Linked DNA regions of Nothobranchius furzeri. The main gene of each other region encodes a partner of the protein of the gene in region 2 in a complex. Links are inferred from orthologs where the notes say so. Each region holds a gene or a part of one and is shown on either strand. Other genes may lie near its edges.

The links.
Region 1: rnf113a (region 2) and bud13 share a complex: the UniProt entries of both Homo sapiens proteins name them as parts of the minor spliceosome. The link is inferred for Nothobranchius furzeri from reciprocal best matches to the Homo sapiens genes RNF113A and BUD13.
Region 3: rnf113a (region 2) and cwc15 share a complex: the UniProt entries of both Homo sapiens proteins name them as parts of the minor spliceosome. The link is inferred for Nothobranchius furzeri from reciprocal best matches to the Homo sapiens genes RNF113A and CWC15.
Region 4: rnf113a (region 2) and cwc22 share a complex: the UniProt entries of both Homo sapiens proteins name them as parts of the minor spliceosome. The link is inferred for Nothobranchius furzeri from reciprocal best matches to the Homo sapiens genes RNF113A and CWC22.
Region 5: rnf113a (region 2) and snrpd3l share a complex: the UniProt entries of both Homo sapiens proteins name them as parts of the minor spliceosome. The link is inferred for Nothobranchius furzeri from reciprocal best matches to the Homo sapiens genes RNF113A and SNRPD3.
Region 6: rnf113a (region 2) and rbm22 share a complex: the UniProt entries of both Homo sapiens proteins name them as parts of the pre-catalytic and catalytic spliceosome complex. The link is inferred for Nothobranchius furzeri from reciprocal best matches to the Homo sapiens genes RNF113A and RBM22.
Region 7: rnf113a (region 2) and scnm1 share a complex: the UniProt entries of both Homo sapiens proteins name them as parts of the minor spliceosome. The link is inferred for Nothobranchius furzeri from reciprocal best matches to the Homo sapiens genes RNF113A and SCNM1.

What each region holds. Positions count from the first base shown.
Region 1 is NC_091750.1:44,767,950-44,772,204, forward strand, and holds the start of bud13 (BUD13 homolog), read right to left. Parts: upstream 2,801-4,255; 5' UTR 2,757-2,800; coding exon 2,617-2,756; intron 2,493-2,616; coding exon 2,402-2,492; intron 1,890-2,401; coding exon 1,805-1,889; intron 1,737-1,804; coding exon 1,500-1,736; intron 1-1,499. Other genes in the region: rsph3 (radial spoke head protein 3 homolog), read right to left, coding at 4,158-4,192. UniProt on the Homo sapiens protein: Involved in pre-mRNA splicing as component of the activated spliceosome. As a component of the minor spliceosome, involved in the splicing of U12-type introns in pre-mRNAs.
Region 2 is NC_091745.1:10,008,299-10,012,371, reverse strand, and holds rnf113a (E3 ubiquitin-protein ligase RNF113A), read right to left. Parts: upstream 2,704-4,073; 5' UTR 2,650-2,703; coding exon 2,544-2,649; intron 2,244-2,543; coding exon 2,164-2,243; intron 2,092-2,163; coding exon 1,993-2,091; intron 1,738-1,992; coding exon 1,630-1,737; intron 1,540-1,629; coding exon 1,430-1,539; intron 1,348-1,429; coding exon 1,241-1,347; intron 1,151-1,240; coding exon 1,061-1,150; intron 989-1,060; coding exon 895-988; intron 826-894; coding exon 719-825; intron 633-718; coding exon 565-632; 3' UTR 501-564; downstream 1-500. UniProt on the Homo sapiens protein: Required for pre-mRNA splicing as component of the spliceosome. As a component of the minor spliceosome, involved in the splicing of U12-type introns in pre-mRNAs. E3 ubiquitin-protein ligase that catalyzes the transfer of ubiquitin onto target proteins.
Region 3 is NC_091750.1:48,553,524-48,557,191, reverse strand, and holds cwc15 (protein CWC15 homolog), read right to left. Parts: upstream 2,436-3,668; 5' UTR 2,285-2,435; intron 2,200-2,284; exon of another isoform or gene 2,057-2,199; intron 1,955-2,056; 5' UTR 1,939-1,954; coding exon 1,808-1,938; intron 1,725-1,807; coding exon 1,612-1,724; intron 1,508-1,611; coding exon 1,407-1,507; intron 1,336-1,406; coding exon 1,225-1,335; intron 1,128-1,224; coding exon 979-1,127; intron 868-978; coding exon 738-867; 3' UTR 501-737; downstream 1-500. UniProt on the Homo sapiens protein: Involved in pre-mRNA splicing as component of the spliceosome. Component of the PRP19-CDC5L complex that forms an integral part of the spliceosome and is required for activating pre-mRNA splicing.
Region 4 is NC_091754.1:30,050,200-30,052,814, reverse strand, and holds the end of cwc22 (pre-mRNA-splicing factor CWC22 homolog), read right to left. Parts: coding exon 2,547-2,615; intron 1,107-2,546; coding exon 679-1,106; 3' UTR 501-678; downstream 1-500. UniProt on the Homo sapiens protein: Required for pre-mRNA splicing as component of the spliceosome. As a component of the minor spliceosome, involved in the splicing of U12-type introns in pre-mRNAs. Promotes exon-junction complex (EJC) assembly.
Region 5 is NC_091746.1:48,714,771-48,718,978, reverse strand, and holds snrpd3l (small nuclear ribonucleoprotein D3 polypeptide, like), read right to left. Parts: upstream 2,801-4,208; 5' UTR 2,669-2,800; intron 1,879-2,668; 5' UTR 1,864-1,878; coding exon 1,738-1,863; intron 951-1,737; coding exon 758-950; intron 375-757; coding exon 310-374; 3' UTR 179-309; downstream 1-178. UniProt on the Homo sapiens protein: Plays a role in pre-mRNA splicing as a core component of the spliceosomal U1, U2, U4 and U5 small nuclear ribonucleoproteins (snRNPs), the building blocks of the spliceosome.
Region 6 is NC_091741.1:95,930,087-95,933,586, forward strand, and holds part of rbm22 (pre-mRNA-splicing factor RBM22), read right to left. Parts: intron 1,908-3,500; coding exon 1,735-1,907; intron 1-1,734. UniProt on the Homo sapiens protein: Required for pre-mRNA splicing as component of the activated spliceosome. Involved in the first step of pre-mRNA splicing.
Region 7 is NC_091745.1:65,775,870-65,780,066, reverse strand, and holds the start of scnm1 (sodium channel modifier 1), read right to left. Parts: upstream 2,801-4,197; 5' UTR 2,693-2,800; coding exon 2,642-2,692; intron 2,511-2,641; coding exon 2,440-2,510; intron 2,358-2,439; coding exon 2,269-2,357; intron 1-2,268. Other genes in the region: lysmd1 (lysM and putative peptidoglycan-binding domain-containing protein 1), read left to right, coding at 3,360-3,539. UniProt on the Homo sapiens protein: As a component of the minor spliceosome, involved in the splicing of U12-type introns in pre-mRNAs. Plays a role in the regulation of primary cilia length and Hedgehog signaling.

The DNA.
Region 1 (4,255 bases), on a different chromosome or scaffold from region 2:
TCCGCCTGTCGATCTCCCGATCCCTCCTACCCTCACTCGTGAACAAGACCCCGAGATACTTATATAATTATATAATGCATTTCATTAATATGCATTTGTATCAGAAATGGTAATAACATTTAATTTTGGCTGCTAAAAATGTAATGGTGGCATGTCTATTATGTACGGGTTGGCAATAATCCAGTTCAAATTATGTTGAAAGATAGAAGCGTCTGTTAATTATATACTACAACGGCTTGCCATAGCCGTTCCATTCAATTCAAAGATACTTTATTAATCCCAGAGGGAAATTAGAGTTTCAGTACACACAATTCTGAGATCAGACATACATACATAGGCATAGACACATGACAAGAATTGGTGACTGTGGTCATTCGCGACCCGGAGGGTTTACATAAGGATTGGGTCAGGTGGAGGGAAAAAAGGCACTTCAGAGACAGGGAGGGCAGCTTTGCTATGCAAAAAAACACCTCAGACAGAAATGCAACAGACTTCAGACATTACACAACATAAGTGTCCACTAGGTGGGGTGGTAGGGTCTGGGACTCTCCACACATCAGTGCATGCAGCCGCGATAAGCAGCGCTCGTCACCTCCGTTTGGACAGGGGAAGGAGGTATGTGGGTTAGAGGGCACAGTGACTCCTGGAAACGATTCAATGGCCTTCACCGGTCGCAGTCCCACCCAGGGTGGGATAGGGAGACAGAGTTACCATGGCGACTGCAGCATTGTGGCAGTAATGTGACTCGTATCTGCAGCGGTTCTGATCCATAGCGCTGCAGGATGCAGAATAAACAGGATGGTGGGGACTTTTCATCCGCTTGTAGATTTTAGTCTTTCTTAGTTTTACCATCATATATTTTTCTGTGCACCACTTGATCGTGAGACTGCTAACCGTTAGCTTTAGCATTAGCCAATCTGCGTGTAGCTGCACTTTTGATCCCAAACTTTGGACCGGTTCTGCCTTTGCTGGTTCCTGTATTTTCCTCCACTGCATCCAGATGACCACACTGCGCCGGTAAAAAGCATTTTTCTTACACGCAACTAACTTTGTTCAATAAAGTTCTGGGGAAAATAGTAATTCAAAGATGTTGCACCAGTGCTACGTTTAAACATAGACAGACACGCACAGACAGTTCTTTTCGTCACACTGTACAGCTCTGCTCTGATATGGAAGAGCCTGGGGGAAAATCAGGATGTCAATAACACCAACCATAGATATGTAACTAGCGAGAAAAGCAGTTTTTGATCTTCTTTGTCTGCAGTGGTTTTAGTGCTTTTCGGTGCGCCGCTGCTGATACAGCGCCCCTGTAGGGGCGTAACGCTGCAACTGCAGTTAAAATAACACCCATATAGCTGGGGGCAGAGTGAAATCAGGCTGGGGCGGCCGAATTTGAATGCAGGAAAAACCCTGAATATGCTTCAATCAGTGGTGGAGAACAGGATGCTAAAACAAATGCCTGTCCATGAGAGACACAGAAAAAAACGTTTATCACTCACCTTTATATCGGCCCTTTCCTGATTTCCCTGAATGCCCTCTTGAAGGTGACAAGTCTGGAGAGTCGTGGCGACCTCTCCTTGGAGGAGATGTGTCCGGAGAGTCATGTCTTGCTTTTCTGATGGGAGAATTGTGTCTCATGTCTTTTGATGACCTCTCCGGTGAGTCTTGGTGAATTTTGCTAGATTCCAAAGACTCTACACGTTCCCCCGTTGTTTCATCTTCCTCGTTCTCATCAGCTACAGGGAAGACTAGATGATGATTTTCTTAAACAAAGGAACAGATTTTGTTTGTGTTTCACGTTTACCTCCAACTATTTTCCATCTGTTGCTGGTCCTGAAGACTTCCATCTGTTTCACCTCCTCTGGTCGCTCGTCAATGAATTCAGCAATCTTAGTGGGCACACAAATTTATCCATATTGCATTTCCATAACATTTGAGGAAACATCACTCATTAGAACCTTCTAATAAATAAAAGTTTGTGTTTTTTTGTCTCTGTTTATGTCAGAATTCAGCTTTTTTTCCCTCCTGGATTATATGGACAGATTACGCAAAAAGATTTTTTTTCCACAAATTAAATTATTATTTGTTGCAAGAAAAAAAACTATAATTTTGCACTTGTTTAGCCCTGTTTATAGTGCAAAATATCTTCCTCTTGATCTTTTTAAACAAAAATTATTAAAATGGCACAAAAACATTCTAAGTATTTTGACCCACTTGGGATCAAGTTTTAGTGTCTAAAAACTTGTGAATACACTTTCATAAACTCAACCCAATGTATGGAGTCTAAAACTGAACGCCTGTCTTAATATTGCCAGAGATTACTGAAGGGAGAGATTTGCTTTAAAAGCGTTTGAATCGAATTAAGGTCTTTCGAAAAAGCTAACGTTAGCTAGCTGTTTACCACAGGAGCTTCTTCTTCTTCCTCCTCTTCAATCTCCTTCGGTTCTGTGACCATCTGTCTCCAGTCTATATCATCATCTACTATTTTAAGTCTGAAATAAAAGGAAAATAATAAATGTCACCAAGTAACAAAAAAGCGATAACTGACACAGTGACTAGCGAAACAGCTAGCATACAAGTGAAAAGAAACTTTATAGAACTCTCTCACAAACTCACCCTTTTTCAGGAACTTTGCGTCGTTTCTTTTTTATCTTTCCTTTTGATTTACTAGCATCTTCGCTGGCTGACAGATAACGTTTGAGGTACTCAGCTTTAGAAAGCTCAGCTCCTTTACTGACGCCATTGGAGGCAGCCATGTTGACTGTTGTCCGAAACTACGGATAGCGCGGAGGATCAAAAGGGGTAAACCGCTCCACCATCCTTGTTATGGTATATATTTTTCTTTTTAAAAAATACCACAAGAGTCATAATCTGGCTTTTGTTGTAAAACTGAAAATACTCAATTGCTAAACAAGCCGCTTATCTTTTTGATGTAAAAATGGATGAGCTATGGCTTGATTTTCCATCTAATTTTTGCTAATAAATAAAATAAAACAAATAGAAAAATAAAACGAATAATTAACACTGACAAACAGACATTTTTTCCCTCATTTTGGACACAAAAGCATCACATTAACAAGTGTTAATTTTGATAATAGGAGTCTTTCATCAGGGAACCAAATCAGTAATTAAAAAAAATAATACAAATAATAATAAAAAAAAACAAGTGGTCATTTGATTCTTGTTTGGAAATACAAATGATTAAAACAAATACAATTCAATTTTGTGTGATAAAATAAGGATGGCACAGTAAAACAATATTAGATTTTTTATAATGAAAAAAAAGAAGAATTAATGTTTACTTTAATTCTATTTGCAGAAACAAAGACGACATTTGTTATCACCATCACCATTCTGTCAGTGCTGTAGGAGACATGCTTTAGCTCCATTTAGAAACTGACTCTACTCGATAGACACTGAACACGTTATTGTTCCCAGCAGTAACTCAAAAGTAGTGATGATTTAAGATCTTTAGCTTGAGGAACTCAGTGATGTCATCATAATGATTTATTTAGGCCCTGGATCTGTCTATCTCTCTCTCTCTGACACACACACACACACACACGCACGCACGCGCGCGCGCACACACACACACACACACACACACACAATGTACTTTGATGTTTTGCATCTTTTTTATTTGTTCTTATCATATTTTAACAAGTTTTTGTTGCCTCCTTGTTGCACCTTTTTGTATTCATTATTTATTTGCTACCTCATTAATGACTGTAACTTTATCTCGTGGTGTATGGTGGCTCAATCACAACCTCATGTAGCAGCTGCTCTGTAGAAACATTTGTTTAGATCTGTTTTACACACTTAAATAAAAACAGCAAAATGGTCCAATTTTACCCCCAATAAGTTTAATGTACTTTAGTTTTAAGCCATTAAGAATTGTGCAGTTCAAATCACTTTTATATAAAAGTGATTGAATGTCAAAGCTCTCAGACTCATAACCCAGATTATCACACAACTCTTTCAGTTCCCAACAAATCCTCTGAGACCTAAAAGACATGGCACAAAAGTAAACAAACAAAGTAGTCACAGCAAGTTTACCAACAAAAATATCCATTTTCATGTAAATAGGAGCAATTATGTGCCAGAGAGTTGTTTATGGAGTAGATCTGGCCGGCTGTGTTTCCTGATCCTTCCACTCCTTAAAGGTTTTTTCCACTAACTTCAGAGATCATGGCTGAAACAAACAGAAAAATGAACAGGTTGAACATTGATGACCTCAAATATTTCTGCCACCCTT
Region 2 (4,073 bases):
CGGATTGTACTCTACACACACCCACGAACCAAAAGGACAACTCTTGAGTTTTCTAAAGGTAGATGTAGCCCAAACCATAAAGGTCAGGAGACGGATCAATGAAATGCTGCTACGTAATATTACCAGGAGACGCTCCACCGTTTGTGTTAACACGATTTGGTCCGTCTGCTCCAGGAGACGACCATAAGGGCACCTAGCAGTCCTCTCTGAGGACTGACAGCATTTCTTAGCTCCGGTCTGCTACAGCAGATGCATCGTCTCACGGTTCAGACTCTTTTGTTGCACAGGTTGTAATTATTAGTTTAGCATTAAGAGCGTAAAAGTTAGCCTTTTCTTCGGCTCTCTGGGTGTTACTGACGTCAGATGTAAATGTTTTCTTGGTGCTGGTTTTGTCTGCATGTATATTTGAAAGTTTGGACAAAGCAACGTGTTACAAATGTAAAACTTTTACTACAAACCCAGGCCTGCTTCAGTGTTTCAACATGATTGTACAAAAGGAACCGAGGCCATGAACTTTATTAGAAATGTACACAGACAAACACAGAGAGGGTTCTAAAGCGTGTTCTAATCTTCTTCGTCTGACGGTGGCTGGTCGGCTAAAGCGTTGCGTTTCTCCATCTTGGCAATCAGCTCTAGAATAAATGACAATAAAACATCAAGTGTGACTGTTTACTTTGGTTTCTGCTCCTCTTGGATGTTTTTGAGCAAATGCATTTACCTTTAGCGGGGTTGAAGACACCATTGGTCTGAGTGTTGCACACGTAGCAGCGCTTTGACTTGCGATAATGCTGAAGAGCACAGCTCTCACAAAAATAGTGCTTACACCTAAGGAAACAGCGATTACCAGCCGGTAATAAACAAGGACTGAAGGAGAGAAACCATCGCAGTACTTACTTTGTGATGATGGGATTTTTAAAAGATTCTCTGCAGATGAAGCACTTGAAGGGCAAGTCTTCATCATCACTGCTCACCTCATAGTTCTCGTCATCTAGATGAAAACACATCAGAAACTTAGTCTAGCCAGCAAAAGAGAAGATTTCAAGTTCGATTATTTACTCACCATTTGCTCCATATCTCCCTTCCTCCAGTTCCCTCTCAATCTGCCAGCCGTGTTTGTAGTCCGACCTGTCATGGAGGAACTTGCAGCTGTCTAATGGCAACGGATGCAATCATGATTAATAAACAAAACCTTTGACTTCACAGTAGGAACGTTTTAAGAGTTCAGATTGTTTTCACCAACCCCCAAATCCACAGAAACCCGTCTCCTTGTAGTCTTTGCAAATATCCGGTTGGTAGTCCCACCGGACTGTAGCTCTCAGGTGTTCAGGAGCTCGAATCGGTCCTTTTCTGTAGCACAGATTGAACGTAACCTTCAGCATCTATAGGTGAACAACATCTTCTGACTGCATGTGAATATCTCTTGCCTCACCTGACCATGCCTGAAGAGGCATTGCCCATGGTGGTGTCTTTAGGCTTGATGAATTTTTGGTAGTTATTGATGCCACGGTATATTTTATCATCTTCTTTACCTGTTAGCTCCTAATGAGACAGAGGAGGGAAAGCTCAAATGACGAAGGTGAGATTTTGATTATTTCTCATTTTATATTAACCAATAGCGGCATGTCCTACCTCTTGGATTTTCTGACTCCTCTCAAAAATAGCTTGAGCATCCTTGTCTCTCTCTGTGTCCAGCTGATAAGTGGCAGTTGCACCCATGTCTTCAGGCCCCTCGGGTTTCTTTTTATGAAGGCAAGGTACAGTAGAAAGTTTTAAAGTAAATAAAAACAACTGTTCAGGGCACATAGTCATGTGTACGTGGATGAGAATGGTCTGTAGATTGTAAAATAATGTTAAAATTTGCTTTTCTGGTGAAGTTTCAGCCCCTGTATGTTTTGTCTCAACAGCCAGGTTGAGCCATGATGGAAAAAAGATCAGTGTTTGACTTGTACTGTCTGGCTCTGACATTTTTGAATGAATGCAGTCTGAACTCACCGCTGATCGGGAAGACTTGTAAGCAACCGTTATCTTTTTGTCTCCCTTTTCCTCCTCGCTTTCACTAGAAGACACAGCGTCCCTCTCCACTTTTTTTGTCTGAACAAAGAATACATAGATCATTCACGTTGCTGCTTCATAACTAAGTATCTATTAGCTTGCCTGCTCTACCTTTTGAATCATGGGGTTGACTCGAGCATCCTTCTTTTCTTTTCTGACCACAGCAGTCTGTTCAGTGTCACTATCGCCATCTAAAACAAACAAACAAACACACACGCGCACACACACACACACACAATTGGTGTAAACAAACATTACAAAATCTATTACAATTAAACTAGGTTACTTCCCCTCTTTGTTTAAATGTAGCTTTCAGGTGATAAACCATAATGTTTTTGGTCCTGTTTATTATGGAGGATAATATAAACAAACTGTTTGGGTCGCGGTTTTGATCTCCCTGATGAGAAGCCGCTATCAATTCTATCCAGAGGACAGACAACGCTAGTTAGGAGAAAATTACAAGGAAATGTATCTAAATGATAGTTTACTACCTTTATCGCTGTCACTTGCTTTTCGTTTTCTTCCGGAGAATTTCTTGGTGGATTTTTTAAACAAAAACGTACAAGTAGCTGCTTTTGGTTTGTCTGGGTCCGCCATGTTTTTGTTGGTGTAAGAACAGTGGCTGCCAGAGCAGTAGCGCCCCCTGTTGTTCTGGAGGCGAAACGTGACGCGCTCCTTCTGCCAAAATGAGATTCACAACCGTCCATAAATCAAAGTCAACGCGGCTCTGGCTAGAATGGTAAACCTAAAATATTATGTTAGAACGGACGAGGGCCAATGAAAACAAAAGAAAAATACAATAAAAAAATGAACAGAAAGATAATTCTGACTTTAATCTCAGAATTTTCAGATTTAAATCATTATTCTTTGTTTTCAGTGGCCTTAATCCTCTTCCGTAGTACTTGAAATAATTTTTAAAAGGTAATTTTAGTTTTAAACAGAAAAATAATTAACGCATTTTGATTGGACACTAAATGTATAAACGATTAATAAACAAAATACACAAAAATAGCCATTAGAAATGTCGTTGATAAAAAGAAGAAACGATCTTTTACAAGACCGCTCAAGATAATAATCATGAGCAGGCGCTTCACAAGAACAACAACAACAACAACAACCATAACAACAAAAAACAAAAAAAGAAAGAAAAATAAATAAAAACGAATGACATAAATTTGTAAGAAAATTTTATGTTTAACTGCTTTTTGTCTAAATAATCTTTTGACGTAACTGATGCCAACACAATCTGTCTATAAGTGATTAAATGTATTGTTTATGTCAACTTGATAACAAGAACTCAATTAGTTTCTGGCTTTCGAGAGTAGGGTTTTTTCCAACCTCTGGCGGTCAGAGGCGGTTACTACAGTGTTCACATAAAGTTGAACAACACATAACCAATTAGCACTTCCTATAAATCCTTTCAAAATAAAAGAAATAACAAGAGGTCAGAAGGTCTGCAGTTATATAAACTACACAACCGATGAAGCTTAATAAATGTATCATAATTATCTGTGTTAAACAAGATTAAATTAACGCGCTAAAACAAAAACTATTAGCAGCATTACAAACACATCAGATCATACGCCCTCTGGTGGCCTATTGTCCCTCTGCTGTAGACTCAGAGGAACATCAAGTAATTCTTTTTGATTGTGAAATTTAACTAACAAGTTTGTAATTTCTTCTCAAACATTTCAGATATAAAACAATTTAGGCCACTATCAGGTGTCTGCCCTGGGATTGGGAGATCGGGTTTGAATACCGGTCTAGTCATACCAAAGACTTTAACAAGGAACCCAATCCCCCCCCCTGCTTAACACTCAGCTTTAAAGGGTTGCATTAGGGGGTTAAACAACCAAATTACTGAGCGCAGCCACTGCAGCAGCTCCCTGCTCTCCATCGGGATGTGTCAGATGTGGAGATGAATTTCACCAGTGTGATGATGACTATGGGACTTTAACTTTATTATTTGAACACACACACACACACACACACACACACACACACACACACACACACACACA
Region 3 (3,668 bases), on a different chromosome or scaffold from region 2:
TCATCACTAAATGAAACAAATCAGCTGTGTTCATGATCTAAACCATGCAGGAAACTTGCTGGAACTAGACTGCAGCGCCAGGTATGTCAGCTCAAGTTCTTCTAAGTTCAACAGATCAGACCAGCAACTGTGAAGCTGCAAGTGGGATATTTTGGCCACAGGGGGCGATAGGGGCTGGGTGGCATTTCATTAACACTGTGAAGGGTTATTTTAGCACATACTGGCTCAAGAAAATTATCTAAAAATATGAACAAGTTACAAAGTATCTTTTAACCCTCGCCACATCCTTGAACTTTTGCAAAACCCATTACCTTTTGCACAAAAAAAGCACTAGGGAGTGGAGGGTTAAATGAAAAGCAACACTCTTCATACCCATTTCTGTGCTGATTTTAGGCACCCCACCCCTAGCATTTTTTATAAAACTTAACTTTTTAAGTTAATTTACCCTTTAAAATTAAAAAATGCACAATCTGTTATTTCTGTGAAATTATGCAAAGTAATTCAAGGGAAAAAAGTCAATGTTTATTCAAATAATGAAAAATGCATGACAGAAATACTGAAATCACATTCTGAAATGTGCTTCAAACTTTCATGATTTACGCAAACAGCAACTGACCTGCAGACAGTACGGTTTCCAATTAGTTAGACTGTAAATAAATGCCAGCTGCAATTAAAATGCTTGAAACTAAAACATTTTCAATTAAAAAAGATCAAATGAAACACACACACAAAGTCCTCTACTTTACATATTTCTCCATAAATTTCTTGTGGAACTCAGAGCGCAGCGTGTCGTTGACAAAACGTTTCTCTTTCCGCGCCTCATCCACTCCTTTGGCGCAGTTTTTGAACACTACGTCATCATCCCACCTAGAAGTACATCAGAATTATTAGTGGTGGTGAAGGAATATATTTGTTTTTCCAAATGCAAACAAACAAAAAACCAACATTCTTGCTGTAACAAGTGAACATAAGAAATACCTTCTCTTGACTCTGAATGTGTTCTGAGTTTGGCTCTGTTGCTGTTGTTGCTGCTGCTGCTGTTGCTGTCCTGCTAAATTTATCAATGGATTTCCACTCAAAATATTTTCCATTCGAATCCTCTCTTCCTCTGCCTTCTGCTCTCTTTCCTAAATAACAAAAGAAAAGCACACGGAGGTTAAGCCATCCTCTATAACATCACTTTTCATTTATAGCCAAAGCAAACACAAACTTAAAACTCTTTACTTTGCGTTCTTGCTCTTCAGCTCGCTCTTTCTTAATTTTTTCAAGTTCAGCCAGCAGGGCTGCAGTGTCGTCATCATCACTTTCTTCATCTGAGTTCTCGTCTTCGTCATCCTGTAATGTAAAAATGGATTAATAACTTTATCCAGTGTAAGTCTGGGATGTATTGCAATGTAAATCCTTACATCAGTGAGAGGGTCATCGGCATCAAGGTTGGCTGCTGGGATCTGATCCAGTCTGGGCCTTTTTGAAGATGATGATGATGAAGAAGATGATGTGGTGTGCTCTGAAGAAATAAAATCAACACAATACAGATTAAAGGAACTATGCCAGAAACCGTTGCATACATCCTTTTTGGATCTAATCTTTATTATGAGTAGAAAAATCCACCTCTTGGTCCCCTCTCTCTGGTCTTCTCACGAGCAGCTACACGCTCCCTCTCCTCCAGCTCTCGGCGAAAATCACGGGCACGCACTTCCTCAGGGGCATCCTGGGTAGGCTGCCTTTTAATTGAGATGAAAGAAACACAGTTTAAGTAGTTCGAATAAATATTTAAGGTTGAGAAACTGGAACCCACTGTTCTGACCTGTATTTGATCTTGGTGTGACCTGGAAGATCCCGACTGGAATACTGCTTAGAAAGAGCACTCAAATCCCCTTCTCCTTTTCCTCTACCCCCTCTCGCCGGCTCAAATGTTGGTCTTGCAGCTGTAGTCATCTTTGATGGCCGTGCTCTGGCAAAACGTAAAGCAGAAAATAACTGACCAATTCATAAATTACAATAAGTAATTTTAGATATACATCATAATAAGTCTAATGTTAATATGAGTTAAAACCTTTAACGATCAGTTTCCTCCTAAATGTTGTTTAAAACACAAGTTAGCTTGATAGCTTCCACCGCTAATCAGTTGCTAACAGGCTAACGTGGGTGACAATGCAATTTAAGGAACATTTCCTATTTTTAAAACCCAATGCAAGATAATTACGAGAGTAAACATGTTTGAAACACAAAGCTTAAAATAAACAACACAATTTAAATACGTTTTTAAAGCAACAACACTTACGAAGCTGCTTCCAAAAGTGAAAAGGAAACGTTCCTGTACACAACGGTGCGTCACTTCCGGAACTAGACGCGTTCAGGAACAATCGGAGAAAAATCGTGCATATTTTGACCGGCATGACAGGACTCCAAGAACCTATTTTACTTGTATTGTTTACGAGGTCGGCTGCGCAGTGGTTAGAGCTGTTGCCTTGGGTTCACTTCCCAGCCTGAGATCTTTCTGCATGGAGTTTGCATGTTCTCCCTGTGCATGCGTGGGTTCTCTCCGGGTACTCCGGCTTCCTCCCACAGTCCTTAGGTGTGTGTGTGTGTGTGTGTGTGTGTGTGTGTGTGTGTGCGTGTGTGTGTGTGTGTGTGTGTGTGTGTGCGTGCATGATTGTTTGTCCTGTGTGTCTCTGTGTTGCCCTGCGATGGACTGGCTTTCTGTCCAGGGTATATCCCGCCTGATTGCCCATTGACCGCTGGAGATAGGCACCAGCCCACCGCAACCCTACGTGGACAAAGCGGGTTCAGACAATGGATGGATGGATGGATGTTTACAAGGTCAATAAAATGTAGTGTTCAAATTAAGAAAACCACAAATCTTGTTTACTACAGTATGATAATTACAGACCAATCTTAGTGCTTCCCCAGTTTTCTAAAGTCCCTGTTGCCCTTTTCAAGCTGGATCTAACCTCCATCTGTCTGCAGATTCCTGCACCCGACTCCTGTTGAAGATCTCAGCTACATTTATGCTGCTCCCTTGTTTTCTCCATTAATTTATTGTTTAAAACCGACCGTAGTCTGTGAACTGATTCTGTAAGTCGTGGGTTAGACACTTACCTCACAACATGACACCATAGTGACTGGTATAATTACGCAATCCTTCGATGAAAGAAGGTCACAGTTTAGTCTTGTATGCGATCATGGTTCAGGTTTGCATTTCATTATTTTCTGACCTCCTGCTATGACATTTTTTTTACCTGAAGCTCATAAATATTCCTGAAAAGTTGAATAAACAGAAATCTTCAGTGCAATGCACCGATATGAAACTTTGGGGCTGATACCAATATCTGATATATCGCTGTTATGGCCGATAACCGATGTTTGCCAATACCGATATACTGACATTAATGCTTCTAAGATCAACAGATTTGTAAAGATTAAAGCTGAATTGACGTTATGTACACACACCACACATGTTTACACTGTTAGATGATTGCAATCACTGTCACATGACTAAACAATTACACATCACCTCCCTCACCCTCTGAAACAGATAAACAAATGAAAACAAGATGGAAAAATTATCAGTTAATATTGGCCCAGTTTAATGTATCGGACCAATACCGATATTAATGCCAATATATTGTGCATCCCTATTTTGAACCCTAACCTACTGACAAAGT
Region 4 (2,615 bases), on a different chromosome or scaffold from region 2:
CAAGGTTGAAGAATAATTCAGGAAGGTGTGTGTCGCACTAAAGACACTTAAGTTAGAAAACAATGGGTAAATATCGATTCATGATTTAGAGAGCTGAATATCAGATGTGATGGGTGGAGATGAATCCGTTTAGTTTGGGCTTCTTTAGTCTGTAAAGCTGCAAATTTACTTACAGCTGGAACACAACAAAGTTCAGGAACTCTCAACTAAGTCTCAGCTTTTATTTTGAAAATCTAAAATTTCTTCTCATGGAGTGACCTGCATTTTATAATTTAATTTCATAAAACCTTTTCATTTGTGAAGTAATGTAACTGCAGCCGTTTGTGTCTGAACTGTTTGTTTTCCTAATATTAAATCTTATAGTTTCATTATTTGATTCATTCAGTTTTGAAAACTTCTATATTCACCAGCTATAAATTTGCTGAAGTTTATGAAAATGAAAAGAAAGCTTAGAAAAACCACTAACTGTATAGGTGGATCAGGATTCAGAGACACGAAAGTTAAAAACATCTATTACAACTTTAATTTTTCTTTCATTTCATCAACTAAATTCAACAGAAGGACTGAAGGAGGAAAATAAAAATGGGTCCCAGGTCCACATCAGAAGTGAGAAGCTGAGGAGATGAGGGCTGTCAATCATCAGTTTATCATGGCTGCTGCAGTAGAGAGATGAAGAGTTCACCTCCTCCTCCTCTCCTCTCGCTCTTTGTTCCTGTCTCTGTTCTCTTTATTCCTCTCTCTGTCTCTGGTCTCTTCTTTCTCTCTCTCCCTCACTCCTTCCCTGTCTCTCCCTCTGTCTCTCTCCCTCTCCCTCTCGCTGTCTCTTTGATGGTCAATTTTTCGCCTCCTCTCCTCCTCCTCCTTACGCCGCTCATCTTCCTCTGGCCTTTCATCTCGTCTTCTCCACCGGGTATCCTCACGTGAGCGTTCGTCCAAATCACGCACACGGGTTCTCTTGTCTTTCCCCGACTGCTTCTCACCCTCGTCTCTGTCCTTGTCGTTCTTGCGTCCACCCCCACGCTTGTCAGGTTTCTCCTTCCTCTTCTCCCTCTTCTTTTTCTCCTCACTTCGGCCTTTTCTCTTCTTTTTATGTTTGTCATCAGAGTCTGGAGGACAAAAGCGGGGAAATGTAACTTCTAGAACTTCTATCAATTTGACTTTTAAAACCACACATTTAGACTCAGGAATAGGGATGGGTACCTTTGACATTTGAATCGATTCGGTACTAATTCCCGGTACCTAGGAATCGATACCGGTTCTTAACGCTACCAATTTTAGATACTTTTGAGTGTTTAATATTTTAATTCTCTTTTATAATTAAATATATATGTTTCTCAATATATAACCATATTTGATAAATATCACGATAAATAACATACAACTGTTTGTATTTTAACATCGTCCTTGTAGTTTTATAAGCTGATAATTAAACTGAAGCAAACATCTTTACTGTGAACTAAATTTACTGTGTATCTTCATTCCTTTTGCCGTCTTTTTTCATTAGATTTTTCCTACTGGGAAGTTAGAATTTCCGAGGAGAAAGCGAACGCACCATTAGCTGATAACAACGGTGGCAATGGAAGCTAATTCATCAAGCTAACTTTATCTTAAACAGTTTATTTAGCTGCTGGAGCAGATTAAAATGATGATACCTCACACTTAGATCGTTGTCACTGGTTTCATCTTCACCCAATCACCCGTCGCATTTAGTAAAGTGAAGCCAAACTTTAGAGCGCGTTCATGTTCTTCTAGTCGGAAATTCGGAGTTCCGAGGAGAAAGCGAACGCACCATTAGTGAAACGGAAGCTAACATATCAAGCTAACGTTATCAACCGGAGCAGATTAAGATGAGGATGTCTCATTTAGATCGTTGTCGCTGGTTTCATCATCACCCAGTTACCCATCAAATTTAGTGAAGTGGACCCAAGCTTTAGCGTGCGTTCTTTCTACCATGCTGCTCTGTTTACAACTGGCTCGCAGCGACCGACGACATAACGCTCTTGCGCAGCTGCCTAGGCAAGTTCTCGTTATGAAGGACGGGTACCGAAACGAGGCACCGTTAGAAATGACGTGAATCTGTGCTCAATCGGTACTATGGAATTCGGTCGGTACCTTAATAAGTACAGAATTCGGTACCCATCGCTACTCAGGAATGAGTGGAAATGTGAATAATTCAAAAAAATTTTACAAAAAAACTTGGGCAAATGTGTAATCCTTTCAAAATAAAACCAAATGGACGAATTGTGGAAGTGTATACATTGTACAGATCAAAAGAAATGCCTATTTTTTATTTGTATATTTTACCAAACATCTGGAAATCACTGCTCGTTCCTGCTATAAAGATAAACTGGTAGCAGCAGTTTTATGGTGCACTGACCTCCCTGCAGCAGATGTAGAATCAAAATAAAAACATTCTGGGTTCATTTCATCAGCTGGTGAACATCTGGTTCCTGCCCAACCTCTGAACTATAAACATAACTCATCCTCTCACTTGAAATCTAAAACGTCAAACCGCAGCAGAAAGTAAAGCATTCATCAGATCGTACCTGAGCTGCTGCTGCTGCTGGAGGAGGAGTCTGAGGAGTCTGATTCGCTGGAGGAGTCTGAAGAGGAGT
Region 5 (4,208 bases), on a different chromosome or scaffold from region 2:
ACTAGGATAAATATGCAGTAAAATGCTTTTCCGTGGGTAAATGTACAAATTTTACTTGCTAAAAGGTTACAATACACAATATAAATGAAAGAGGTGGGACTCAAAATTGAATAATACTACAAAAAAAGGGCTTCAATGGGGCAAAGCACAGCAAAGGTTCAGTCAAGAAGAGCAACACTGAGCTGAAATCTGTTTATTTCATACAAAATAAAAACAGTGATAAATTGTAGAGCAAAAGACTGCAAAGTAAACCAAAGCATAGTAAATCCAAAAGATGACATCAAACAATGAAATTTAAAACAAAATAAGTTATCGTCTCTTCTGGAAAATGTTGCCTCTCCCCATTCCACCACGACCTCGTCCTCTTGCAGCCACTGTTAAAAGTAAAAATAAAAAGTCAAACTCCAAAAAAAGGTATCTCTTTGGTCTGGAAGAAATGCCCCCCCACAAATCCCTATTTTCCCTACTCAAATATTTTGACTATGTTGGACTTCTACAAGAGAAGAAATTAGACAATACCATTAAACATTCCTTTGAAAAAGCCTTTTTTTCCCTTTATATTAGATAAAAAAGAATTGGGATCTGTCTTTCAAACCATTCCACCTCAGAAAATGTGAGAAGTGTCCACATAGAACACTGTTGTTACCTGTAAAAAAAAGTAATTAACAACTATTTAAGAGCCAAGCAGCTAAAGAGGGAACTAAACTCTAGCGCTGTCTCAGCATCTGGAGAAATTGTCCAAATGCTTCTCACTCACCTTGTGCTTTAAGAATAGCTGCCTTTCCTCTTCCTGCCCCAGAGCCTTGGTTCTTGTTCTTCATACTCTTTAACATCGGAGCATTCTTTAACATGTCCGGTAGGATCAAAAAGCGGATCTTGCTGCCGCGAATGTAGACCTGTTCCAACTGTGCAACCCGGCCATCGCGGTAGGTCACGGTGATGTTGGACATCTGTAGGGACAAATTCAAGTTTAGGTCCACAACAGGTGAAATGACCGTGTGAGCATCCATTAATCCAGTTCTGTTACTTATCTGGATCTTGGTGCACACAGGTTACCAAACTAGCATGGCTCAAATGTAAATTAACATTTCAGTTTATTCAACCCTTATAAAAATGTGTGCTGAAATAGAATCCAATTGAAGAGTGATGTTACTTTAGACTGTTTATTAAATTATGATGCAACAACAGAGTTAAATAACTGACTGAACTGGGTAAATCATGAAAGCTAAAGACCAACTTAAAATGAAAACCCAACATAAAAGCCTTTCTGATAAGAATGCTTTAATGAAACACTTTTACAAAAAAATAAAACTCTTCACACCAAGCATCCATGTACACCATTGTTTGGCCAAACGTTTTGCAATTTAGGGGAACACTAATCCCAAACACAAATTAGTTTACCAGTAATTACACAAACAAAAGCTTTTATGACTACATACCCCACAAAAAATCCACATTAACAGAACACCTTAAATGCCAAATTTACTGACCCAAGTTATTGTGAGTGCACAAAATAAAAATTAAATATTTTTTTTAATTTAACCCATTAAAAAGCTGCAAGAAAGGCAATTTGCAAGAGAAATAAAAACAAAATTTATTCAGGCAGCAGATGGGATTGAAACAAGCACTGACTGGATGTTTATGATCAACAGTATTTTGAAGGCTTTTCATTGACACTTTTCTTGACAATTAAAAATCACTGGAACCCTTTTAAACCATACTGCTAAACAAACCAACCTGGCAGTTCATATTGTCCTCTGCTTCTATCAGCTTGCCCCTGTACACCTCTCCAGTGTTGGTCTCACAGGTCACAATGTGACCCTCTGCCTCATGCAGGACCTTGATTGGTACACCGATGGACATGTTTCAAAGCTTTTCCTGGAACACAACACACAAAGCAAAAGATTATACGTGCTCACCCACAGAAATGTCTGCTCTTAAATATTGGCAACCCAAATCCATTTAACTTTATTGGTTAGCCGGGTTGCCCAGTTTCCAGCACTGAAATCTACAATCTGCATTACAACTAGTAGGAGAAGCAACAGAATAAGGCGAGTGAACTTTTTCATGACTGTGGATTAATACTAGTCACTGAAATTAAGACAAATAAGGAAAGACGCCCTGGGAAAACAGGTTTTGTGCAAAAAGCCATAACAAAAGAAGTGTTGTGAACCCGAACGCTACATTAATTGAAACTTTCATGTGGGACATAGTATTTAGACTTAACTAAAATGAAGGTGTTTTTATTATTTAGCATGAATTTACGCAGTAATACACTTTATAACATTACTAGAGAATAAACGATTTCGCTTGGGTATTCTCTTTTTTTAAGAGTCTGGTGGAGAATGTTTGATAGCATTCTAACCGCTAGCTCAGTTAGCCATACTAGCTAGCAAGGCTACAGGACAAATTTATCTAGAAACTACCATTAAACAATTCCAAACAGTAAATATGATTGGCCGTAAATGCTATTTACAGTTTACTACGATTAATAAGCATAGTTAAATACCTAAATATTTTACAGTAACATACGGAGTTTTGAAAATGCGCGTAACCTTAGCCATGCTACACATGAACGAAATAAATCGAAATTTCTAAATAACGAAAACCAATAGAAGAATGAGAACTCCGTTTCCTCAAACTAATTAATGTTACTCCTGTAACTTACCTTGACTTGTTCGTAAGAGTTATTTGCTTTATTGTTATTTCTTCTTGAACTGCAACGTGCGTTTGACGCTTTCGGGATCCTTTTGAGCCTTTTTTTCCGCCTGCAACGAAGGGTCACAACGAGTGTTTCCGGTGGCACCTACCGCGATGCATTGTGGGACACGTAGTTCAATAACGCCCATGGTTGAGGACTATTGAGTATGTACAGTCTATGGGACTATTATTTAGTGAAACTGACAAACTCAGCTTCTTATGTAGAATTATTTTTTTTATAAAGACTGAAACACATAAAATTAAATAAAATAAAAACTAAAATTATAAGAAACTATTTACATTTTAATCACGTTTCCTTAATTTATAATCTGTTTTTTACTTGTATTTGTTTTTAATTTTTTATGCTTGAGAAGCACCTCGCGATTTTTATCTTGGGGGCGCTATATAAAAGATTGTTTCATTCTTTCTTCTATAAATGTTGAGTTATGATGGAAATGAAAATTGATTTTCATTCTCCACAAGTAGAACATTGCATTTCTAAGAGGACTGAATATGTGTTTACGTACATCTGACTAAAGTTTAATGAATAAACTTGATTTCCATGATTTTGAAGGAAATCAGCTGTTGACTACATTTTCTGCATCGTCTAATGACGATGGGCAATTTATGCAGCTACACCAGACACTGAACTGTATTGTTTTAAAAAGCAAATGTTGATCCAGTAGCAGGATTGATTTGCATTTTCTTTCAGAAAAATAGAACAGTTTTGCATTACTTGTCATCTTGGCTCCAAGTTGACATTTACAGCTTTACATGGCTTTTCATAAAGCAGCTCAGTGTTAGGTACTTTTTAAATTCCCATGGAACATTGATCCATCATTGAATCACCCACAACAGTATTTTTATGATCTGTATCTCATGCAAATCAAAACAGCATTAGACATAAAAACAAAACATTAAAATGAACTAATTTTATCTATTTTTACAACACTGAGTATGGCCACAGTGTACTGCACAAATGATATGCAAAGAACTAGAATAAACATAAAGTACACATAATATACATACCCGTGTATGTTTGTTCCAGGAGATGTGTCTCGGGGATTGCTACGGGACACATAAAAGTGGCCTAATGCAGGTCTGTCCCACATTGAAAGAGCTTTTTAATGGGGAAAGAGAAGGCATAATGGGATAATAAAAGACATCATCAAATGAATCTTCATTTGATTTCCATTGCATTTGGCTCATTGACTGGCGTCAGCAGCCATGGCTGATCTGTAAACACCTTTCAGTGAGTAGTTTGTGGTTGGGCACTTTACGTGTGTGTGTGTGTGTGTGTGTGTGTGTGTGTGTGTGTGTGTGTGTGTGTGTGTGTGTGTGTGTGTGTGTGTGTGTGTGTGTGTGTGTGTGTGTGTGTGTGTGTGTGTGTGTGAGTGAGTGAGTGAGTGTGAGGAATCTTTTTATGATTTTGATGTGTGCAGGCCAGACCCTGAAAGTAGTGGTAGCATCACAGGTAGTAACAAAGTGGAAATAAGTCCTTTGGTTCA
Region 6 (3,500 bases), on a different chromosome or scaffold from region 2:
TGGTGTTGTGAGTTATGCTGCTGTTATACTAAAGGCTGTTCGTTTTTGCGGAGCTTTGTTATTCATAAAATCACCAAAAACATGATTCAAACATGCTTCCTAAACCAGGAAGATGTGTCACAAGCTGGGTTTACAGATGCAGTCAGGACTGTTTAAAACAAACATTTTCATTGATGTTTTTAAATAAATATGATCCGATGCCGTCAGCCTGTCCATCAGCTTCATCTGATTCACCTCTTCTGGGGAATGAAGCTTTTCACCTAAACGACCCACCAAAACGCTGAAGTGTTTCGGTTTTAATGCAACAAAATGTTATTTAAGATTCTGTTCCATTTATACGAAACGGGGATGACACTCCGTGACTCAAGAGCTGCACATCTGGTTAGTTTTACTCATTTTACTCTGATTACTGACCTGCTAATATCTTCTATTGTTATTTATTATGTGCTAAAGACTGAGACACTTAATTTAGTTTATTTGCTGCCTAAAGTGAAATGAACACACACAACACAGAGATACTTTTAAATTCCACTAAAACAGCTGATCAGGATTCTGTCAGTGCGTTTACCTGCAGCCAGTAACCCTTTTAAAACCCGAATATTCACAATAAGCCGGTTCTGCACGGCCATTTAAACACCACCAAAAACCCAGATATGCTCTTACTACACCTGGGGTAACCCTTTTCTAACCCGGATGTTTGGTCATGTAAACCAAATCGGGATATTCCCATCAAAGCGTGTGTTTTGCGCATGCTCTGTTCGCAAGGAATCTTGGTCTTTTGAGTAGCGAGACGTCTTGTATGCATGTAAACAAGTTGGAAGCAACATGGCGAGTCGCGGCACAGCACCACACTTTTGGAGTGACGAGGAAACCTCGGTCTTCATTGGTCTGGAGAAAAGTATGAACATTATGTCTTTTGTTGACGGCCGAAAGTAGAGACAGCGAAATATACAAGCATATTGTGTCTGGACGTAGTCCACACGTCCTGACGCTATCCCAACGTCCGCATTTAAATCGGGTTATGCAAGTTAGAGGTAACTCTATTTATGCTTGTAAACGGGTTATTCTGATCAACTCAGAAACCCGAATACCGACCTTAACCCGATCATAACCCGGATATTGGCTGCATGTAAACGTAGTCTGTGTAGCTTGTAGCATTTAGCCCATTTAAAAAATGCCATCAGACTTTAATGTTTATGATGAAAAACATCCAAACTTACCATTACAGGTGAACTAATGTACTTTAATTTGATTGCATGAAAACACAACTTTTTTTTTTTACTTTAATCTGAAGTAACATTTTGTTCCATTTGTGGGATTAAAACATTCTTATTTGTGTCACGAAGCTCGGATCAGATGTGAGGAGCATCAGCTGATGAACAGGCTTTCTTATCCAGGTAATCACATTTTTCATTATTACATGAAAATCTTTGGTGTAATTAAAATAACTTTAAAGGTGATCTCAGGCTGTTTTCTTTAGTAATCCTCACAGCAGCAGAAGAGGGACAGATGTAGGATATTTATAAGAGCTGAATTTACAGAAACCTGGATCATTTTTCATCACACACTTTTGTGTCTGTTCATGACCCAGTGCTGGACAGGATGGCACAAGTTAGTGAAAACCAGAGGAAGCAAAGTGGGCAGAACTGCATAAGGTAGAAAATACACTTAAGGAGGCAGGTGTTAAAACACAAAGTCAGATTCATAAAACACGGAGACCACTAAGTTATTTACCTGTAGGGACACTCCTCGCCTCTCTTACACTCTCCCTTCACCCAGAAGGAGCAGATATGGGGCCGGTTCCTCTTGTAATATGGAGTAGTGCGGGCCAGTTTGAGCAACATGTCACTGGAGCTTGTTGCCTTCCCCAGCTGGCCTACTGGTCGAGTGCCATCAGAATTGGCTATCTGTAAGCACAATGGAAAATAACACGAGAAAGTTATTTTAACGCTCGTCTAAGATGAAATAAACTGCCACTGACATCACAAGCTGAATATCTAAAGGGATATTCCATCTCTAAGTGAAATTTAGCCTGTTGCCATATTCTCCAGATTTTGATAAGTGGGAAAAAAGCATTTTGTAACCAGCCCAGTCCTCCTCCTGATCAGGTGGTATTAAATTAGCTTCAGCTTACCACTGGCAACTTAAAGTAAATGGTAACAACTAGCATTTTGTGTGAATAAGTCAAGAAAATTACTCAATAATGATCATAATTTTTGTTGATGAACTCAGTAATCACACTGACAGTAAATAGGCCTGGGACGATAACAAATTTTGCTATCCAACAAATTATTGATGATAAACAATATTATTGTTGACATTATAGAGACCAAAATAACCACTTATGTAATGTTAATGGATCATAATAATGCAAGTACACCCTTTAAAACGCAGCAATGAAACCTTTATTTAACTAACACAAGTGATATATTTTCTGCAGTACTGAAACGCCTGAGCTCCGTTTGTTTCCTTTGAGGTCGTAGAGATCTACGTTACTGATTGTAAACAATTTCTGAAAATACTGATCTCTAGACTCCTTCACAACTTTAATCCTGTAAGGGATGCGTTCATCCTTGTTCTTTTCATCCATCCTTTTTACTTGTTCTGCTTCATCTTCAGTTTCCCCTAGCAACACGAGTCATACACCTAAAATGGTGCTAAGGGGTGCGGTTGACATGCAGGTCACGTGTCTGACAAAAAACGACGTATCCAGGCTGGAAAAATTATTGAGTTCATTTTCATCTATCGTATGAATTGATTTATTGATTATTGTCCCAGACCTAACTGTAAATTAAAATAAGTAGCATGGCGGAAATACAAGAGACGATTTTGACTTGGGAATGCATAATGACAAAGCATCACTGTAAAACTCAGTTTATAGTCATTAGGGTCAAAAGTTGTACACGTTGTACAGTAAACTCAAAACTGACCATGTCTGCATAACATCATACAGCTGCATCCTGTCCTTCTGCCTCATGGCGTTGGCTTACAGCAGCGCCAGTGGTTATGCTTGCTTAGTATGAGGATTGCTGTAAAGTTATTGACACTTAGGGCTGGGGGTAAACGATTATTTTTAAAACGATTATTCTGACGATTATTTTATCGAATAGTCGACTATTCTAATGACTATTTAGAAAATTAATCTAATGATTATTTTTCTATTGCACAATTAACAAAAACCAGAAAATCTCAAATAAATTCCTCAAAAAAATTGATAAATTCTTACTGTAAGAGAATAAACACTACAGGCCTTCCATTTTGTATAACACTGCTTTTATTGTGTTGCGGTTGGTTATGTTCTGGTGACGTGTAGAACTTGGGAGTGCAGGCTGCTGCCTGAGAGGTGGTAGAAGATGGAGTGTCTCCATGCTGCTTTGTTTTGGTCACTTATGTGCGTGAGGCGAGTGGTCTTACGGGTTAAACCAAACTCAGGTGATATTTTACACTAAACCGAAAACCCACAACACTCTAAATGTAATAAAAGGGAGATCTACACCACA
Region 7 (4,197 bases), about 56 Mb from region 2:
GCCGTTACGCTTTTGGCCTGAGGGGGCAATCGCGAGCATAAAAATTCAAAACTCCATAAAGTCCCTTTAAAGAGCCTTTGAATCGCTCGCCTCCTTAAAAAAAAGCCCTCCTCCCCTTTTCATCTAATGATCGCAGTTAACAGGAAATTCTCCAGAATACTGCAGAAAGGTAAGTCTACTGTGAGCATGCGTGTGCACTTGTTAATGACTAATTTTTCGACAGAGAAACTCCGACAGCGCACGCAGAGGGGGTTGAGGGGAGTGCTGTCTATCACTGCCTCTGAGTCGCTCTCTTGGTCCACCAGGTGACACCTCTTTCAGAAGTGTTTTCCTAACAGGAAGTGTGAATGAAATAAGTCCCCACCCATGCCATGACTCCCACTGTAACTATAGTACAGTGGTGTAGCGATGTTAATATCGATAATCAAAACAAGCTATTAACCCCTTTTTAGTATGCATTTTGATATTTAAAATGCATCACAAGTTGCATATGATTAATTTACAGCTGTTAATTCTTTGTTGCTCAGGTTTTTAAACACTTTTTGGTATACAAGTAATTATGGATTGTTTTTGTTTTGTCTTTTCTAATACTGAAGATAATTAGGGCCACTGAAGAAAAAAAATTTAAAAAAAGAATTCTGACTTTAACTCACTAACTGCCAGCCGTTCTCCAGTGGCGTGTCCAAGCTCTTTAAAATGGGGTGGCCCAGGTGGGGCACTTGTTTATGCACGAGTGGCCCCTATGGTTATTGTATTGTAACCCTAAGCCTTTTGTGGAGAATGTAAAGTCAATTTATATGGAACTCGGTGGGGTGGCACCTGGGATTTCAAGGGTGGCATTTGCTACCCCAGGGCACTCCCTGGACACACTCCTGCCATTCTCTGATCAGAAAAGCCCTTCGCAGCCAGCGTTTTTCAGTGTTTCTACTGTTTCTTTAAGAGTCAATGAACGTTGTGCTCTAGGATGATGTCAACGCCAAAACTAACAAAACGAAGAGTAGACTCACCTCTTACATCAGGCAGAATCAGGGTTCATTTCAAGATTCTGGTTCTGGTCTATAGGGCCTTACATGGACAAGCACCATCTTACATTGGTGATCTTCTTAGTCCCTACACCCCCAGCAGGTCCCTGAGGTCCAGTGATCAAAGCCTACTGGTTGTGCAACGCACCAGTCTAAAGACCAAAGGTGACAGATCATTTGCTGCTGTGGCCCCCAGATTCTGGAACTCTCTCTCTCCTTGAGCCTGAGATCAGTGGACTCCTTTAAAAAGCAGCTGAAAACTCACTTGTTCAAGCTGGCTTTTGTATGGCCTTCTTCAACCCCTCTCTCTTTATTCTGCTCTCCCCACCTATTCCACCTTCCTCAGGATCCACTGATTTCCCTCTTTCCTATTCACTCTCTCTTTCTTAAAATTGTTTTCTTTTAAATCCCAATTGTCTATTTTTGCTCATTTGAAATAAATTTTTAAACATTTTCTAAATGCTTTTTTATATTTTTTACATTTTTTTGTTTTTGTGAAGCGCCTCGTGATTTTTATCTTGAGAGGCGCCATAGAAATGATATTTTCTTCTTCTTCTTCAGAATCTACATGTTTCGAGTGTTATCCATTCTTACATAATCTGTAGTCGAACTGTGATCGGCAGAAGCTTTTCCGGTTTGCGCCTCACTTATTTTTTTACAGCTGTGGCCCAAAACGATCTCCTAACACATGGATTTTCTGCTTCCTGATCACGTGGCGTGTGACGTACACGAATGAAGATCAGCTTATAGCTGGAATGTTTGTTCTCACGGTGCGGGGGCTCGTTCCGACGCCCACATAGTAAAAAAAATGCAAATGACGACTTTAGTCGTCAATGGCAGTTAATGAGTTAATCTCTGATTTCTGGCATTTTTCTCAGAATTCTGACTTTTTTCTTGATTGTGACTTTAATAATTCTGAGATTAAAGCCAGATTTCTGAGGGGAAAAATCTGATGTCTTTCTTTTCATATGTTTTATTTTCAGTGGCCTTAATCCTCTTCCATACTTTAACTCAGGGTGAAGTTCTTGGATTTTGAGTAAAAACCACGTGCTGTTGTTTTAATGATTTGTAATAAACAAATTGATCAGACTGTATGTTCTATTGTCTTCCCACAATATCATCAGATACTTTCAAGTGTTTCTTTGATGTCAGACAATGTAAGAAAATCATAACACCTGACTTAGAAAAGTTCTTCCAAACCTCATCCCTTACCCACAGGGAATGACACATTTAAGCTCACTTTTACCTTCTAGATGCTTCTTCCCTTGCCTGTGGACGGTCAGCACATCAACCGTATCAAACACGGGACGGTAGGAGCACACCAGACAAGTATATCTAAAAAACCACACACGTTTTCAGTTATTAATGTAACAACATGTCTGTTTCTTTTCCGAACGTGAGTCAAGCCGAAATTCACCTTCCATTTTTCAGCAGCGCAGCTTCGTCTTCAGGAATAAAATGAGACAGCAGATCGGCCACACGCCTTTTCTGAAAAATGTCAACAAAGTTGAAATAGTGAGTGCTCCCAGGACAGGAAGCTAACAGGATGCTAACATGATGCTAACTACACAAACGTATAATATTTAATGAAACAGACAACGTATAAAACAATATTTAACCTTAAGAATGTTGAGTTGACTCTTGTCATTCCCCTCTCTTTTAAAAGACATTGCTATGACATATACTCTTAAACTGAAGTTGGAACCAGATTAGCTGCTTTTTGTCAATGCTAGGCTAGCCCTGCTGATGCGTTCACAGAAGAATCGACGCATGGGAAATTCTAACCTCCAAATTTAGAACGGAGTTCAGCTTTGAACTAAAGTGTGCACAAACATTTCTGAATCATATCCATTATTTGTCGCTCATAATTATCATTAAAAAAGACTGCTCAAGTGCAGAAACAGTTTAAACGTTAGGTACTCCTAAAACGAATTCGAACAACTTTAAAGTGATTTCTGTTATTCGTATTGTATTAAACGCACCGTTTGTTAAGAATCATGTGACCAGCCCAGGCAGCCATGGCAACCAGCGTAGCTGCTACTGCTGCTGCTGACTTCACGAGATACGAGAAAATGCTAACAAGTTCACGATAACTTTTCAGGTGTGTAAAATAGGTTTATCATATAGTTTAACGGGGTTTTTACATCAGAGGCCCTGTGTGTGCTGCAGGTGCTGTATTGCTAAGCTTAAAATAGCAGGTTTAAAAAGGAAAGAAGCTTGAATAGTTGGGTCGTGTGCTAGTTCTTACATACATGTTTCTCTGGTAAAAGCTAAAGTTTACAGCTCTCTGTATTCTGCCGCACCTTGGACGGGTTTAAACACAAATGATACACCAAAATGTCCGGGGAGCGAGAGCCATCGCCTCCCGGGAGAGGGGGCCTCCTTCGCGGAAGCCGAACCAGATCTTACGGCAGTTTGATCCGACCTTCACAGTCTCCGGTTCGCCGCAGAGTCGTGGAACATGTCGTCCAACCGGGAGAGACTTTGCAGGGCCTGGCCCTTAAATACGGAGTGTCTGTAAGTACAAACTATTTACATTTTAAACAACCTATTTTAGTTAGGCTTACATTTTTGAGTCTCTCTCTCTCTCTCTATCTCTCTCTTTCTATATATATATATATATATATATATATATATATATATATATATATATATATATATATATATATATATATATATATGTGTGTGTGTGTATATATATATATGTGTGTGTGTGTATGTTTATGTTTATTCATTTCGCAGACACTTTTATCCAAAGCGACGTACAAGTTTTTTTTTAATAACCTGTAGGGCATGTTGTGATGTGTGGGGGAAACCGGAGTACCCGGAGGAAACCCACGCATGCATGGGGAGAACACGCAACTCCACGCAGAAAGGCGAGTTTTGAACCTGCGACCTTCATGCTGCGAGGCAACAGTGCTAACCACTGCGCCACCATGCATATATATATAAAGGTCCTGGGTTTGCTTCTCGGCCTGGGATCTTTCTGCATGGAGTTTGCATGTTCTCCCTGTGCATGCGTGGGTTCTCTCCGGGTACTCCGGCTTCCTCCCACAGTCCAAAAACTTGAGTGTTAGGTTAATTGGTCTGTCTGAATTCCTTAGGTGTGTGTGTGTGTTTGTGTGTGTGTGTGTGTGTGTGTGTGTGTGTGTGTGTGTGCGCGCGCGCATAATTG